3 linked regions of the Drosophila melanogaster genome follow. The protein of the gene in region 3 interacts with the protein of the main gene of each other region in a biochemical or structural test. Each region holds a gene or a part of one and is shown on either strand. Other genes may lie near its edges.

The links.
Region 1: of the proteins of Synj (region 3) and mnb, one has a biochemical effect on the other in vitro, tested with the Drosophila melanogaster proteins (one study listed by BioGRID).
Region 2: the proteins of Synj (region 3) and Dap160 interact in far-western blotting, tested with the Drosophila melanogaster proteins (one study listed by BioGRID).

The regions. Positions count from the first base shown.
Region 1 is NC_004354.4:17,871,977-17,876,691, reverse strand, and holds the start of mnb (minibrain), read left to right. Parts: upstream 1-1,651; 5' UTR 1,652-1,812; coding exon 1,813-2,287; intron 2,288-3,291; coding exon 3,292-3,437; intron 3,438-3,938; coding exon 3,939-4,073; intron 4,074-4,715. UniProt on the Drosophila melanogaster protein: Role in the specific control of proper proliferation of optic lobe neuronal progeny.
Region 2 is NT_033779.5:21,139,255-21,143,934, reverse strand, and holds the start of Dap160 (dynamin associated protein 160), read left to right. Parts: upstream 1-1,587; 5' UTR 1,588-1,696; intron 1,697-1,922; 5' UTR 1,923-2,146; coding exon 2,147-2,310; intron 2,311-2,382; coding exon 2,383-2,757; intron 2,758-2,926; coding exon 2,927-3,366; intron 3,367-3,444; coding exon of another isoform or gene 3,445-3,456; coding exon 3,457-3,718; intron 3,719-3,778; coding exon 3,779-3,926; intron 3,927-3,992; coding exon 3,993-4,259; intron 4,260-4,332; coding exon 4,333-4,680. Other genes in the region: pths (porthos), read right to left, coding at 113-371, 432-629.
Region 3 is NT_033778.4:22,078,247-22,086,042, reverse strand, and holds Synj (synaptojanin), read right to left. Parts: upstream 5,868-7,796; 5' UTR 5,838-5,867; intron 5,601-5,837; exon of another isoform or gene 5,505-5,600; intron 5,359-5,504; exon of another isoform or gene 5,280-5,358; intron 4,969-5,279; 5' UTR 4,864-4,968; coding exon 3,406-4,863; intron 3,339-3,405; coding exon 1,140-3,338; 3' UTR 1,119-1,139; intron 1,052-1,118; 3' UTR 622-1,051; downstream 1-621. Other genes in the region: CG13502 (uncharacterized protein), read left to right, coding at 1-151.

The sequences.
Region 1 (4,715 bases), on a different chromosome or scaffold from region 3:
CCCATTATTTGCCAAATATGTCGAGACTTTAGTATCCGATTAGCTGGCGCCGCCATCTGTTCATAAAGTTGTCAAGTGGTGGGTAATAGTAGTATTACAGTCGCAGTCACGTCACGATGTGAGTCACCTGCTCCGGATGCAATTATCGATGGTGTGTGATTGTTGGTAGTGGCCCTATCCCCCCCCCCCCCCTCATTCCTCGCCCAAAATGCAAGTGGCCAAAAAGGTGGCGGGGAGCGAACGCAAAATGTCGTCAACTATTTTTATTTTCGGCCGAGAGACGCGACAGACAAACAACGAACATGAGAACTTTGGGGCAAAGATCCCACATTGCGAACGGAGGATCGGATCGGATCGGATCGGATGGGATCCCTATAAATAGAGGGACTGGTGGCTATGCTCCTGCGAATCTTTCGAGGGGCCCCGAACGCATTAATTATTCAACTCTTCCATCGATTGGCAAGCGTTCAATTTGTTTATTATAAAAGCAAAATATTTTTTAATTGCTTTGGCGAAATGGAAAACACAAATTAGCTTGGCGTGTAGACAGACATTTACATAACTCGAAAGAACACAAGTTTATAATTATTTCAAAATCGTTTGGCATTACTGGGCATTTTAGTTTCGAAAACGATTTCCTATTTTTATGGCCCACTCTGCCAAGTGGCAGCTCAACCAGTTATACAGTTTTGTAACGCACTGCATTATGTACACACACTTTTTGCCTGGGGTTAATTACATTTTATTTTAATTTCACATTTCGTTTGCTTTGTTTTGATTTCCTTGACTTGCCGACGACGCAAAAGCCGAAACAAAGAAATGCATACTTACATATGTATGTATGTATGTATGTATGTATATTTGTATCTTTGCGCGCACGAGACAAGTGCGAGCACTTTCCCACCCACAACCACCCAGCGTTCCCCCATTTACCCCACATGCATTCGCTACATGTCACTACGCTACATGTCATTATTGAAATGCCATTATCAACGAAAAGCGGAACTCCCTCTGTCAAAAAAAACACTTGTGATAGAAAACAAAAGGCCAGCCAGAAGTGAGCTTTTCACCAACAATAATGGGGGAGAATACCTAAGAAAACCGATTTATTCGTTTGTGGTTAATCACAAGCAAGTGCAAGTAACTCTGTGATCAATATGGAGATACTGAAAGGTATTTACCCAACACTGTTTCAATCAGTTGAGCTTCTTCAACACCAGAGATGTGCACTCCGAAACAAAGGTCGAAAGGTATGGATTTGACCAAGAGATATCACCAAGAGATTTTTCTATTTCCCATTTACTCAAATGCAATTGTGCAACACTGAACGAGTCTAGTGTAGTGTTAATATAGCGAATTCCGATGCCAGATAGCCGGGCATTCCCTACTTTAGCTTCATGATCATTACCACGCCGAGATCGTGATGATCGTTGCTGCAATCTCGCTATCGGCGCTCGGCTTCGTTCGTGTGTTCCGCATAAGTGCAGCAAAAAAGTGCAAAAACACCAAGTGAAATAAAAGAGCAGGGAGAAAACACGGTTCCGTATAAATAAAACAGACGACAACAACAACAACAACGACGAGTGGCAAACTTTGGGGACAGAACTGGGGGAACAAAAACCGAGGCAGTTTGCGCTGAATTTTCACACGAAACAGACCGCGCTTCATACAGCCAGATCCAAATGGATCTTAAATTACTTAAATAAACTATATAAAAATAAACGAAATAAGCATATCATTTTGATTGAAAAAAGGAAGCGGTTAGTGCAAAGTGCGTTCGCGATTCCGATTGCGATTCCGATTGCCAGTGATATGTCGACGGCCCTGGTTTATTGGCAGTCAATGAATGGCGGCGATCCGGTTGACAAGGCCACCGCGGATTGGGCGCCATTCGTGGTTGGTGCAGCAGCTGGTGGCAGCTTCAGTAGCAGCATCATCACCAGCAGCAGCAGCAGCTTGAACCACCATCCGCACAACGGCCACCACAATCACCATCATCCGCCTCATTACATCAATTATTTGGCGCAAATTGGCTGCCAGCATCGTGTCAGAAATTGGCCAACAAATGGCAATCAGGATCAGGCGGATGACGACGACGCTGGCCATCAGATCATCTCTAAATTCCTGCCCAAAAGTGCCTGGGACACGGTGCTGTTGGATGTGAAGCGGGATGTAGATGAAGATGGAGATAGAGATAGAGATCGGGTCGATGGCAATGTGCTGATGGTTCAGGGATCGTCATCATCATCATCGAGAATGAAGGCGGAACGGGCACTCTATTATACTAGTAAGCCCATTGGATGAAACAGAGAAGTTGGCCTAGAAAAATTTGTTGCATGTCAGTTTAACTGACCGACAACTTTTTTTTTTGCGTTTGCACAATTAGTCAACGAATAGAAAGGAAAAGTATCTTTGCTCTCGCCACATGTTTTTTTGGAAATTAGAAATGGAGTGTTGGAATATCAAATGTCGCGGATTATCATCGAAAACACAGCTGCTGCCACTTACAGGTTTTACCCTGTTGCTTGATTTTTTCATTCTTGTTTATAACGTTGGGTCTATTTTTGTTGCACAAGCCATCAGCGAACGAAGAGCGAAGAGCAACAAAACAAAAAGAGTGAGCATGTGAAATGGTCATAGGAACGTGGGGAAATAGAATCTACAAACGGCAGAATTATGTATCTGCGCCTGCATATTGTGTAATAATTTCAGTTCAGTTCCGTCTGGTTCTAAAATTAAGGTAGAGCTTCTTTTTTACTTACCTCTGCTGGCCTGCCAATGCACAGGAAAAAAATATTGCTAGCAAAAGTAGATTCTTCGGAAAGGAAGAGAAATGTTCCAATTCGTTTTTTTTTATATGGCAGCATCATGTGCTTACTATCTTTAACTCACTAGTATGACCACCAATTCAACAACTAATTTTAGAACGAATTTTGCATCTTGAGTTAAAAAAAGAATGCATGACTCTGGGCTGGCTCTATATCAGATCTTAAATGGGAATTGGCAGTGTTTTTCCTGCGGTGTGTGTCCACACTTTTCGCCCTACCCTTTGCTTTTATTATCGTTTTGGCAACTCTTGACGCTGACGTAGTCAGGTGTGCAAGAAAACAGGTGCATTTTGCAGAGGAGCGGTGTCCGAGCGATCCGGTCAATGAACCAGCACAGAACGGCGCACAACGAAGGCGGCAAGCAAATACATCGCAATAATTATATATACACACATATATATTTGTATAATTCCCGCCGATATCTGATAGTATCTCTGATCTCTTCCTTTCTCTTACGCTCTAGTGTCCGCTTATGGGTCCAGCGGCGGCAGCGTCGACGCAGCGCAGGGCAGCGGAAGCGGGGGCGGAAGACAGCGCCACGCCCCACTCTACGGGCGATTCGTCGACGCAGAGGATCTGCCTGCCACGCACCGGGATGTCATGCACCATGTGAGTATTATCAACTAGCATTATCCTTATCTTCAATCCAAAACATGCATTTACACACAAAGGACATGCAGAAGTTGTGTTTCTTTCTTTTAGAAATTGTAGAACATTTTTTGTTTAGAAAAAATCCACAAATATTTCAACGGAGCCGTGTAAAAGATAACTTTACTTCGTTGAATATGAACTTACTTTTTCCCATGCTCTACTTAAATTAAAACATGCAATTAGAAAGGTTTATGGCGCATTTGAGAAAGCCGCGCCCTCGGAAGAACAAAGAATGGTATTTTTCAGGACTGGTTTTGCCTTTCTCAATGCGGCCATTAAGACTGCGTATTTATGTTAATAACGAAGCTTAGCAAGTACATTAATAATGTTGTTTTAAGAAATTAAAGAGATTGTGTTCAAAATAAAAATGATTTGATCTGAGCACGATCTGAGCCAAAGCTAGCTGGGCATCACTTTATTGAACAGTTTGAGTAATACGTTCTCCATCTCATTCCACAGCACTCTAGTCCCTCGTCTTCGTCGGAGGTGCGCGCCATGCAGGCCCGGATTCCCAACCACTTTCGGGAGCCCGCCTCGGGACCTTTGCGCAAGCTGAGTGTCGATCTGATAAAGACCTACAAGCACATCAACGAGGTGAGTGTGGCCCATAACTGGCGTTTAATCTGGTTAATCTACAAGCAAAACATATGAGAACCAATTGATAATTGGATATTTGATCATAAAATCCTATGTTTATCGTGGCAATATTGAGTTTGGATCATGTTTACCAGGTTCTCTTGTCGTTACAATGCACATAACTTTTCTGTTTTCATTTGCATTAGTAAATAGTGATTCTATTGATATTTTAGCTTGGCAAGATTCCATATCATTTCAAAAAGTATATTCTATCTAGTTTATGTAACTGTCTACCTTATCAATTACCATTGCGATGATGTTGTTCTTGTAGTCTGCAAAACTACGAAGGAACCTTGGCATCCATCCATCCCGATTTCTTTCTTCTTTTTTTTTTATTTACGCTTATATGTCGATCGGAATTTCGTCGGGGGCTTTTCTCGTCTTGTGGCTTTCTTTTTTCGGCTGTCTGACTATCTGCTGACAGCGGATATTTGTGGCGTTGAGCTGGGCTAAAGATACGTTTGTCCTTGACCCGTTCGTGGGGTCAATTCCCCCAACAGCGTCACCGTTCCCCCGCAGCCAGCCATTTGCAGTTGGCTTCGATTGACGTCGTCTGCCGCCTCGGTTGACAACAGCCGAAAAAAAATAAATAAATAAAAG
Region 2 (4,680 bases), on a different chromosome or scaffold from region 3:
GAGGTAGTGACGAATAAGAAAATTATAATTTCATATTTTCGTTGATACACAAAATCAAAACAGGTTTAACATCACTGCGAATTAAAAGCACATAAACTATGCGAAAACTCACCAAGGGCTTCAAACTGCTCGCCAATTTGAAATGCCAGTTCCCTCGTGGGGGTTAGCACGAGGGCAAAATACCGCTGCGGATTCTCGAGAAGGGCGTGTAAAATTGGCAGAGCGAAGGCGCCCGTCTTGCCGGAACCGGTCTCCGCTAGGCCAATTACATCCTTGCCCTGTAAGGCGACCGGAATGGCCTCACGTTGGATCTTCGAAGGCGCCTTCCACTTCAATTCGTCACATGCTTGACACAAAGCCTCATTGAGACCCTTTGAAGAAATATGGCCATTCGATTAAATTTTAATTTAAATTAATAGTGGGGCTCATACGAGATCTTTCCAGGTTAGCTTCTGTTCCTCGGCTGCGTCGTCCTCGGAGCCTTTATCATCTTCACCACTTAGTGCCGCCTCGCTGTCCCCTTCCTTATGATTGTTATCTTCATCTTCCTGCTCCTCCTCGCTACCTAGATCCTCCTCTTCGTCACTCGTTTGTAGCTGCGTCTGTTCGTCCTCTGAAGTTTCCGACATTTTGTTACATGAGTTTCAGAAAAATTTCACGGTACGGACATTACCAATAGCAGCACGTGGTCGAAATAAAAGAATTAGAGGCGGTAAAATAGAAATAGAACTATTTGCGATATTATCGATATAGTTGCGTCTTTAAAACAGTGCAGATTCATGATAACTTTCGATAGCTAATGTGCGATATATCACATGCACACTTAATAAAATTTGTAACTCATTCATACTGAACCATGATCTTAATTACAGGACTTAGTTATAGTGCAAATAGTTTGTTTCGGAAATATATTCACATTTGTATAAAATCGTAATTTGTTAGAAAATTGTTTAATATTGTGATTTTGTCATTTCAGTTAATATAACAATGTTTGAAAATAGATGGTGAATACAAATTTGGTATACATCTTTTTCCATCGCGCAATTTTAAATTAATGAAACGCCAATTAGAGGGTTGTCTGTCATGAACTGTCAACGAATAAAAACTGTTTGACATTTTCATACACAAATGTTATTGATGCTATTATTAACAATTCCGTTAAATCCGGAACAAAAGATTTCTGAATAATTGTCATTTTTAATTGTATAGAAATATTAAAGACAATAAAAGAAAAAAATAGTTGAAATAATTTAACTGACTTGTACTTAACATTTTCTTATAATTTTGGATATTCGAATTTTAATCTTCGATTTTGTTTATTGCGATCTGTTGATGTTTTGGTTAGGTATACATTTTCGTATTGTGTTAAATGCATCATACTGCCGACATAATTTTTATGAGGTTCACTGTAGAAGTAATATAATTAATATATTACTCATAGTCAGTAGTTGTTTCATTTATTTAAAAATCCGTTAGCGGCTAAAAACAAAAACGTTGCAGAATAGTCACATCCAACTTAAGGTCACCGTACTTTTCAACACTTGCTTGCTATAATCACAGAAACAAGCGACGGTCACCCTCCTTCGATTATTAGTCCGTACCTATCGGAGCCTATCGTTCGTCGATATAGGATCCTATCATATAAAATATTGATTAAAATTTACGCAAATACAAAATTTTCTTGTTCCGATGAAAAGTAAGCAACAAAATTACAGTTAAGAGGGATATATAAGAGAATAACGTGTGCGTTGGCGGGGACCATACCACATCATTACTTATCAGTTAATTCGTGGCTATGCGGTTGACAAGTGAAAACGCCTACTAAAGAGAAACTAAAACCTTCAGAAAGCGAGTAAAGGGGGCAATCTATCTTTACAACCTGTCCATTGAGATCGCTTAATATTTTTGGAAATGCTTTATAGGTAAACCATAAAAATCCATTGTGAAAATTTGTGGGGGTGGTGGATACTGAATAGGCGATAGACGTAGTAAAGAGAGCGGCGAAAAGAGTGCGGAGCGAAAGAGTTTGTATTTGATGTGTACTCAAAAGTAGCCGAAGAGAGCGCACTAATACACACGCATACGGAAAAAGGACGATAAAGAGGAAGAGCTTTCCGTGGAAACTAGGATAAAGTGTTTGCCCAAAATGAACTCGGCGGTGGATGCGTGGGCTGTGACCCCGAGGGAGCGTTTGAAGTACCAGGAACAGTTTAGGGCACTCCAGCCGCAGGCAGGATTCGTTACCGGCGCCCAGGCCAAAGGGTTCTTCCTGCAGTCCCAGCTGCCGCCCCTGATCCTGGGCCAAATATGGTATGTATATTACGCCCCCATGAATCATCCACCGATAAGAGTGTTAATTCTTACTCATTTTCTTATCTCCAGGGCTCTGGCGGACACTGATTCCGACGGCAAGATGAACATCAATGAGTTCAGCATAGCCTGCAAGCTTATCAACCTCAAGTTGCGCGGCATGGACGTTCCCAAGGTTCTTCCTCCCAGCCTGCTGTCGTCTCTTACCGGCGATGTCCCCTCGATGACGCCACGTGGCTCCACAAGCTCCTTGAGCCCTTTGGATCCACTCAAGGGAATAGTTCCGGCAGTAGCTCCAGTTGTTCCCGTTGTGGCTCCACCGGTGGCTGTGGCTACTGTCATTTCACCGCCTGGAGTCTCAGTGCCGTCTGGCCCCACACCCCCCACCAGCAATCCACCTAGTCGCCACACGTCTATCTCAGAGCGAGCGCCATCGATCGAGTCTGTGTAAGCATCACTTAGAATCGAATTAATGATTTAATATTATTAATGTAGCAAAGAAGAGATAATTTAATTAATTAAATTTCAAATATTCTTAGTTATTGAAATATTAGCAAAAACATATATATAATATCGTATCTGTTCTTAACTCCTCAATCAACTTCTATCCTTTTAGCAACCAAGGAGAATGGGCCGTTCAAGCTGCCCAAAAGCGTAAATACACGCAGGTGTTCAATGCTAATGATCGCACCCGATCTGGTTACTTAACTGGATCCCAGGCACGCGGCGTTCTCGTACAGAGCAAGTTACCCCAGGTCACGCTGGCCCAAATCTGGACGCTGTCCGACATCGACGGCGATGGACGGCTGAACTGCGACGAGTTTATTCTTGCCATGTTCCTATGCGAGAAGGCCATGGCTGGTGAGAAAATTCCGGTTACCTTGCCCCAGGAATGGGTACCGCCCAACTTGCGCAAAATAAAATCGCGACCGGGATCGGTCTCAGGGGTGGTATCCCGTCCTGGCTCACAGCCGGCCTCCCGACACGCATCTGTTTCATCCCAAAGCGGAGTGGGAGTCGTGGATGCTGACCCAACAGCCGGACTACCTGGACAAAGTAAGTGCTTAATTAACTCCGTTGCCAAACATGTGAATATATTCCATATATTAACACTTGTGATTTCGCGTTCACCAGCTTCCTTCGAAGACAAGCGAAAGGAGAATTATGTTAAGGGTCAAGCAGAGCTGGATCGTAGGCGCAAAATTATGGAGGACCAGCAGCGCAAGGAGCGGGAAGAGAGAGAGCGAAAGGAGCGTGAAGAGGCTGATAAGCGTGAAAAGGCTCGTTTGGAGGCCGAGCGTAAGCAGCAGGAGGAACTAGAGCGACAGCTCCAACGCCAGCGAGAGATTGAGATGGAGAAGGAGGAGCAGCGCAAGAGGGAACTGGAGGCTAAGGAGGCGGCCAGAAAGTAAGGACTTTTATCTTGCTTTGAGCGACAAAACAATGTATACAATTTCTATTGTATCAGGGAGCTTGAGAAGCAGCGCCAGCAGGAATGGGAGCAGGCTAGAATTGCCGAAATGAACGCACAGAAGGAGAGGGAACAAGAACGTGTTCTAAAGCAGAAGGCACACAACACCCAGCTTAATGTGGAGCTCAGCACACTGAATGAAAAAGTAATGTTCTTAAAGTACAACTAATCTATATGGCTGGCCTATCTAACTAACTCGGCTTAATTACAGATCAAGGAGCTTTCGCAGAGGATTTGCGACACTCGTGCCGGCGTGACAAACGTAAAGACCGTTATCGACGGAATGCGCACCCAGCGCGACACTTCCATGTCCGAAATGTCGCAGCTGAAAGCGCGGATTAAGGAACAGAACGCTAAACTGCTTCAGCTCACCCAAGAGAGGGCCAAGTGGGAGGCCAAGAGCAAGGCCAGCGGGGCTGCCTTGGGAGGGGAGAATGCGCAGCAGGAGCAACTGAATGCCGCATTCGCCCACAAGCAGGTGAGCTTTGGCATATACGTAAAGTTTTAGTATTCAACGGATTCTCTAAAATACTATTTACCTTTTTCAACAGTTAATTATTAACCAAATAAAGGATAAAGTCGAGAATATCAGTAAAGAGATTGAGTCAAAGAAGGAGGACATCAACACTAATGATGTACAGATGTCTGAGCTCAAGGCCGAGCTCTCCGCTCTAATCACAAAGTGCGAGGATCTGTACAAGGAATACGATGTGCAGCGCACCTCGGTGCTGGAATTGAAGTACAATCGAAAGAACGAAACTAGTGTATCGTCGGCCTGGGACACAGGCTCTTCCAGTGCTTGGGAGGAGACGGGTACGACTGTCACCGATCCCTACGCAGTTGCGAGCAATGATATCTCCGCACTGGCCGCTCCAGCTGTGGACTTAGGGGGACCGGCC
Region 3 (7,796 bases):
GGACACACACACGGAGAGCATCTCCGCGTACGCCCGCGAGGCGGTGGAGTTTCTCAACAAACGGCAGGAGTTCTGGCGCCAACAGCGTCCCTGCACGGCGCTGCCCAACCATAAGAACCTGCCCCATGACGCTCTGCCCAAATGGTTCTAGTCCATCCAGCTGCCCAATACTACTGACTTGTTCAGCTCCCGGTGTTAAGTTTCTGTTTGAATTGAGTTGGCTTGATAAGCTGGTATTGAATAAATAAATCAATTAATTACGAAAACTCTCAGGTAATTTTACTTGACTCTTGTATTGAGTTTTATTAACTTCCAATGCATTTTGCGAATATTCACTTGGAGCAGCGACTACGACGGTCCAACTTTTTTATTTTGTAGTATGCTACTTGGTTAATCTTAGGCGTAACTTCAACTTTTGAACAGAGCAATTGGAATTTCTCAATTACATTGATATATATTTGTAGTCAACTGAAACAGAAATCCGGATGTAGCCTCAAATTGACGGAATACAACGATAGTTTAACAATGTGGAATAATATGTAATTTATCTCAATAGTTGTTCAATAACAATGGATACATGTGTTTGGGTGTGTCGCTCGAATCGGAATCTTTTACAGAGTTCTATTGCTTCTTCAGTTTTTATAACTTTACTTCATAATTTGACTAGTACGGCTATAATTTATTTAAACATTACATTTATGCAGATTAGTGTAATACTTTGTCGCCCATATACTTCATTATATTCATTCTTCGCCCTCGGCAAATCCGGTGCAATTGGGTTGAGTACGTCTGGCCAGTAAGTAAAAAAAAAAAAAAGAGAGTACCGGAGTGGGGTAGTTTGGGCTTTAGCTATGTGGAACTTATTTGTTTACTTTAAATTCAGTTTGATTCCGGCTAGAAACTATCGAAACAAACAAACAGGTAGTAACATAGATTCCATGCGAAGTGCGGATATTGCCAGGAGTTCTCCTCCAGAGTGGCCCAATATATTCGAGTATATATAACATTAAATACAGCGATTCGGAATGCAATCGGAGTGCAAGACAGCGAGCTGTAAATATAGCCATTATATGATTAGTTGCGGATTACGCTTGATATTTCTTGAATTCTTAACCAACCCCGTGTGCGTAGCCTGCAGCTCAGTTGTTGGCGGGTCGCGTGGGCAGCGGTGGAGCATTGCCGCTCCTATTTGGTATGGGTGGTGGGCCCCTGCGATTCGGCAGCGGTGGCGGCGGGCCCATTGGTGCTCCTATCACTGGCGGCGGTCCAGCCGGCGGCGGATGGCGTGGCGCAGGCACATCCTCCTGAATCTCCTCGTAAATATTACTGGCGGTTTCGTAGGCGGTATCAGATGGAATCGGATCCTTGGGCGAACCGACTTGGCGCGTGGGCGTCGAGACGGGTGTGGCCTGCTTGCTCTGCATTTGGCGCGGCGGCGTCGGCGGACCGGAGAGCACAGCTGGAGCTGTGGGCGAAGTCTTTCCCGAAGAGGACGTCGAAGAACTAGCGGATACAAGTTCCGTTGGCGATTGCGATTTGGAGGATGGCGTGGTGTCCATTGCCGGCGGACGAGGCGGCGCCACCTGCGGCTGAAGCGGCGACGGAATTAGAGGTTGAGATTGCGGTTGCGGTGGCATCGGTGGCTTTGCCGGCTTGGGCACAATGCTGATGACCCCGACGTGGGGCAGGTGGCGTGGTGAGTTCTTTGGCGACATAGGCATTGGGGGACGGGCTGGGGGACGTGTGGGCGGCTGCTTGGGCCGCTGGGGCAACTCCGGCGTAATGGCCTGCAGGAGTTGTGCATGCTCTACAGGATTAGCGCACAGCGGTATGGTGTTCGTGGTGCATAGCTCTATCTCGCTGTCCACCAGATGCTGCCAGTCCTTTGACTTCAGCTCCAGGATAAGATCTAATCCGCATACTTGGATACTCTTCTTAGAAGACGCATTTAAAGCCGATTCTCCATCCCGAAATGTGACCCACATGGTGTCCTCCACATAGCGCACCAAAGTGACCTCTCCCATCTTGGATAGCTCGGTAATCAGGGCTGACATCACATTCTCGTCGTATATGGTTGGTCCATCCTCATCTCCAGTTGCTGAAGACTCCAGGACATGTACCACAATCGTGGAGTCCGGCGGACCCAGATCTCGGATAACCTGCTCGAATACAGCACGTCTCCGCTGCTGATCGATCTCCATTATCTCAGCATCAATAATAGCGATCACGGGTCTATGATCACTCTGCTTTAGCTCCGAACGACCGTAGTGAATCAATTTGCCGGGATTCCAGGCTGAGGCAGCAAAGTCGCCCTCGGCCAGCGCCTTCCTGCGACGCCAGAGAACCCGATCTGTCCAGGCGGGCGCTCGCTGTTTCTCCGAGGTGTCGTAGTCGTCGCTGAACAAATCATACTTGTACGTCGGGTCGAAAGTGATCTCTCCCTCGAGGAATTCGCCAAACACATTGCCAGCCTCCTGCTCCTTGCGCAATTGATCGAACTCGAGGACGGTTGAGAGATCTCCATTACGTACGCACTCCTTTAATTCGTCCTTCTCCATGTCGATGCGATAGTTGAAGTCGCCGCACCAAAACACCCAGTCGTGTGATTTTAGCGTCCTGCCCATCGGGAAGGCCAGCTTCCGGGTGATTTCCGCGTAGTCAGCGTTCCTTTCAGCCACCTGTGACTGTCCGGCTGCAAAGTGGGCACACACGAAGCACATGGAAGTACCATGAAGCACAAATCGAATGGCACAGGCACCCTTATTCCCAGTGGCACCACCCAATCCTGTCTTAACACAGTCGATGGCCACGTCCCGGATGTGCGGCGCGTGCTCCGGTCGGATGTAGATGTATAGGCACACGCCCACCAGTTGCTGGTATGTGAGCAGCACGTAGTCATTGTCCCGCGAGATCGTTTTCTGCAGCTCCTCGGCCCACAACTTGGCATTGTCGGTGCTGGCCGCCATTATGTTGGAAGCATTCAGATCCACAATCTCCTCGAATCCAATGGCGTAGATATCCACCGGATGATCGACGTTCTCCGACGGATTGTTCACATCTACAAGCGCCTTGGAGCGGGCAAGGGCATGGCAGTCGAGCAGCCAATCGGCCAGCGAATCCTTGAACACAATGCTGCGGAAGTGCTTGCCGCCGTTGACGTTATAGGTACCCACGGCTACACGTGCCATTCGAGGACGCACATATTCAGTGTAGCGCTTGCATAGCTCTCTCAACACAGTGGTAGGTGCATGCAACATATTGGAGGGCAGTAGGATGCGAGCCCGATCCGCAAGCTCCGAGCTAAGCGTGGAGCCCACTAGCAGGACATCAATGGCTTCCTAAATATGAAAAAACGGGAGTAATGTAAATAATAAATTGAATTTTTAATTGAAAACCACAATGTACCTGCTTTGAGTTGTCCAGTAGGTTATTTTGAATTGTTCTTGCTGCAGATCGCGCACCATCCATTAGTTTTGATCCCCCCTGGATGGCCCCGGTGCCGGCGTAGATCTTGCTGACCTCATTTCCGTTGTTGATCCACATCTGTCGGAAGATCTCCTCAAACCGCGAAATATTCTGCTGCTTGCCGCCCATTTTCAAAGCCTCTAGCTGGATACCGAGCGTGTCAAGCCCGAGATACGTCTGCACACAGTTTGTCCTGTCCAAACAGTCTAGGCAATTCGTGCGCACAACACCGAACTGCTCGCGCAACACCTGACCATTGGACGCGTGGAAGACGCCGTAGTTAGCACCGCAGGCTACGATCCGTTCCTTGAGCTTGGCCAGCGCCGAGAAATTGCCGCCGCGACACTCCTGATGATAGTCAAACACCACATGCGGCACATCCTTGTGGGCTGACATGCCGTGATGACGCTGGAACTCATTACTCAGCATGGCCTCGCCCTCCTTGCTGCCAACAAGGGAGCTGCCTAGCAGATTCACCACCGTCTGATAGCCGTAACGTTGCCTCATCATGCTCATGTGTCGATCAAAGGCGGCGGCCGATGTCTCGAATCCTCGTGATAGCTTCACCTTGTGCGAGCCAACCTGGACGCCTGGCTGTTCCCAGAAGAGTGGCACCGATCCTCGCGTCTGCACATAACTAGTAACATCGCCGTCCACGTAGATCACTTGCTCGGTTTCCACAAAGTTAGCCACATAGCCCTCATCGTTGGTACCACGGACATTGAAACGCGTGCCAGCCCGTTCGCAGCTCAGTCGGGAAATGATGGCGGCACGGGCCTGTTTGGCACCGATGTAGACGGTGCGCACTTCTACGGAGCCGCACATGGCTTGCAACAACCAGGACTGGCAATCGATACCGAAGCGCATCAGGTGGATGTGCATCATGCGATTCCAGAAGAAACGGTTGTCCGTCTCCTGCGTTTGCTGGCGTCGCTGGGCGCAAAGCGTAATATCGAACCGATACGATGACGCTCCGGATGCCGATGCACTGGCATTGGTGTGGGCAAAGTAGAAGGTGCCCGAGTTGAGCAGCTTGCGCACCTCGCTGATCTTGTCTTCGTTGGGCGCTGCATTTTGTAGCGAGACAAAAGTGGTTTGTGTGATCCGGAAGATCTCGATGTCGCCGATCTTGCCCATGGACACACAGCCGGTGACCAGCACCAGGAACAGCACGGTGCTCTCGCCGGCGTTTAGTTGGAGGGCACCCAGACATCCGTAGGCGTCGCAGACCTTGGTGTACTGCTTCCGGATGACATCCGTCTCCTGCTGGGTCAGCAGGGCCACCGCATGGGACTCGAACAGGATGCTGTCGCTCTTGTTCCGATGCTCCAGTAATACGCTGTGCGGCGAGGGGGCAATGGACTTCTCCAGCACACGGATCACCTTGGACATGGCCATCTTGTTGGTATCTCTCTTCCGTGTGTCTTCTTTTGAGTCGAGTAATGTGATTTCGTCCTTTACTGTCTGCAGTTTAAGTTTTGCGTCCAGCTAAAGCTAAGACATCTGTTGGTGGGGAAATACAATTTAATTGTGGGTGTATTTCACAAGTTACATTTTTAAAGGGTGTATCAGTTACATAATAGAGATCTATTATTTTTATAAGAATAGTACTTCGTTTTTAAGGTGTAGGTTTAATATTGGGATTCGTCGTTTGCAATGCTACAATTATAGGACTCATTCGATTTCAATTTATGAGCAACACTTTTAAAACTAATTTATCGTAATATTTTTTTTACTAAGTAATAAGTTATTATCAACTACGCTACATTCGTTGTTTTTTTAAGTTTTAAAAAATATTTTGGTGAGTGTTTTACTTGCTAAGTTAAGTTATTTTGTGCACTTCGTAATAGCTCAAATGAGCTCAAATTTGGGGTTAATTTAATACCACAAAGTTTTTGATTCTTTTAATTTTAGGATTTGCACGAGGTGAGTGGAAATGGGAAAGTTCAACTAGTACAACAGACACTTTGAACCGAAATGGCACTAAAATTTCGGGCGCCTGTTAAAAATCAATAGGCAACTCTTAAACATAAACAAACCGAAAAGCGGAGGAATTTTTCCAATATCTTCCGCCTCCCACTCAAGTTCACCCACACACGCACACACAGCAATGACATGCACCGGCGGCAGCTGTGCTCTCTCTCGCTCTCTCCCACTCACTGCTGGCGCGTGCGTGTGTTTGTGAGTGACTGATAAACATTTTTTGTGCATTCTATGGATTTTTCACGAGAAATTTGCACAGGCATTTGACTGTTTTTAGAGGCAGCCAACGAACGGCATGCTTGGCGACCACTTAAAAGAGGAAACACTAGATTTCACGAAACTATTGGCTCCTCAAATGAATTTTTTACGCCTCTTAATACTCCTAATACCTTTGTTTGCGATTTTATTGCAAAATTCTGGAGAGCTTTGGGTGGTATGACCGTATTTGGTAAGCCGGAAAACGACAGCATTCTATATGGCCTCGATAATTATCGAGCTGTTGACAGAGATCTGCGCGCCGAACTAAAGATTTGAATTTAAATTGTGTACTAAAACATCAAAGTCAAGTGTATTGACCACTTTTGAAGATTACGGCGGACACTTGACGATAGCCCGAGGCTAGGGGCTTCGCTCAGTGCCCTGAAGTATCTGAACCATTTTTCATCAAACTGGGACAAATATAGTCTTTATCTCAATTGTCCCAAAACTGCACACTTTTCAAATTATATGATAAGAAACGACCCAAAAAGTTGGCAATATTTCTGATGCTAAGATTACACTTGCGCTTCTTTCGGCAAACAGGAAGCAATTCAATGCTGTTTTAAGATAATTAGGTCTCAGAAACAACGTTTCATGGAGCTTAGTCACTCAAAATTGCATGCTACGATAGAATGTAGAACGCTTAATCGCCTACTGTTTGCATTGGTCCGTATGCACATATGGAATGTAATGATTATTTATTTATTGTTTCACTATGCTCTGATTTTTTTTTTGGCACTTCTCACGTGCGCACCATGCTCCTCCAATTCGATTAGATAGCCCCATTGCGGACATTTTGAGTAATCTCAATGGTCGCAACAAAACCTCTAATTGTAAATCACAGACAATCGGGTGATTCATTCCAATCCGCCTTATCAGAAACCGGAGGACGCAAATAAATTTGCATTGCATCGCATTCTTTGTGAACCAGAAAAGTAAATAAAGTCAGATTTATATTGGTCATGCTTCTCAGTTTATTCGATAAGTATGTTTGACTAGTTGTAGGCTTAGAATACGAATTGATTTAAAAAATACGCACTAATTACTCAAATACTCGTACATTATTTCCATAGTTCGGCTTACATACATATGTAGCTCTTGGCAAGCGAAGCAACAATTCTAGTCGAAGGGTTTTCGCATTCCCCCCCATATGTTATCTAATCGCTTAACTGAAATTCGAGTGGATTGCCGTGCCTTGGGTACTGATAACGATTGATTAATTTACATAATTCCAGCAAGATATGGCCGCTTTCGGAATTTTTAGCACTCCCCCCAAGTACGTCATTCCGTTTAAATTGCATTTTCGCCCATTTTAGGCAGGGCGGCTGTGCAAAAAAAAAAGTATCAGCAGTCGTTAATAGTGTATGCCCACCAAATATATCATCTACCCCGCCTGGTTCATTTGAATGCGTCTGCGCCTAATTGTTATATTGTTATAACCTAATGCGTAAGCTAAAGGCGTCGGCCTAGGTTGGTTCCGGACCTGCATCGAAGGTCCAACCACATATGTATATATGTATATTTCTCCCTCCCTTTGCCGCTGATATGCCCGCTTCTCGTATCTGTAGTCATTTAATTCATAAATATGTTTTTGTGTCTCTCGCTTGTCATGGCTTAAGTTCATTAAGATAAGGGGCTGGCTGTGTGGAAAGAAATCGAAAGAATTTTCCCCCACACCAATCCCATGCGATCATTTGACTGGAAGGTTCTACGAGCAGCATCTAGAGTACGCTATAATGGTCGCCACCAGCCTGACCCATCACCTCCCACATAACTTAGACACAAACAGGGGCGCAATCGCCGCCAAGCCCGCATTAGGAGCGTAGGGTCGAGTCAAGTGAGTGCGGTGATAATTACGCTGAAACCGACTATGGTCGATGGTGTGACTCAGCCAAACGTTTCTCACCTATTTGGCCAAAAGGCCCCTGAGTCAGCTAACTGATAAGAGGGGGGATCTATGAGAAACGATACTGTAAATAAACATCAATCAGAACCTAATGGGTTTTCATTCTCACGATCGTTTCGATTCGATTCGATTCGATTTGATTTGATTTATTCAATGGCATTCCCTTTTGGCGCCTATGTACAGC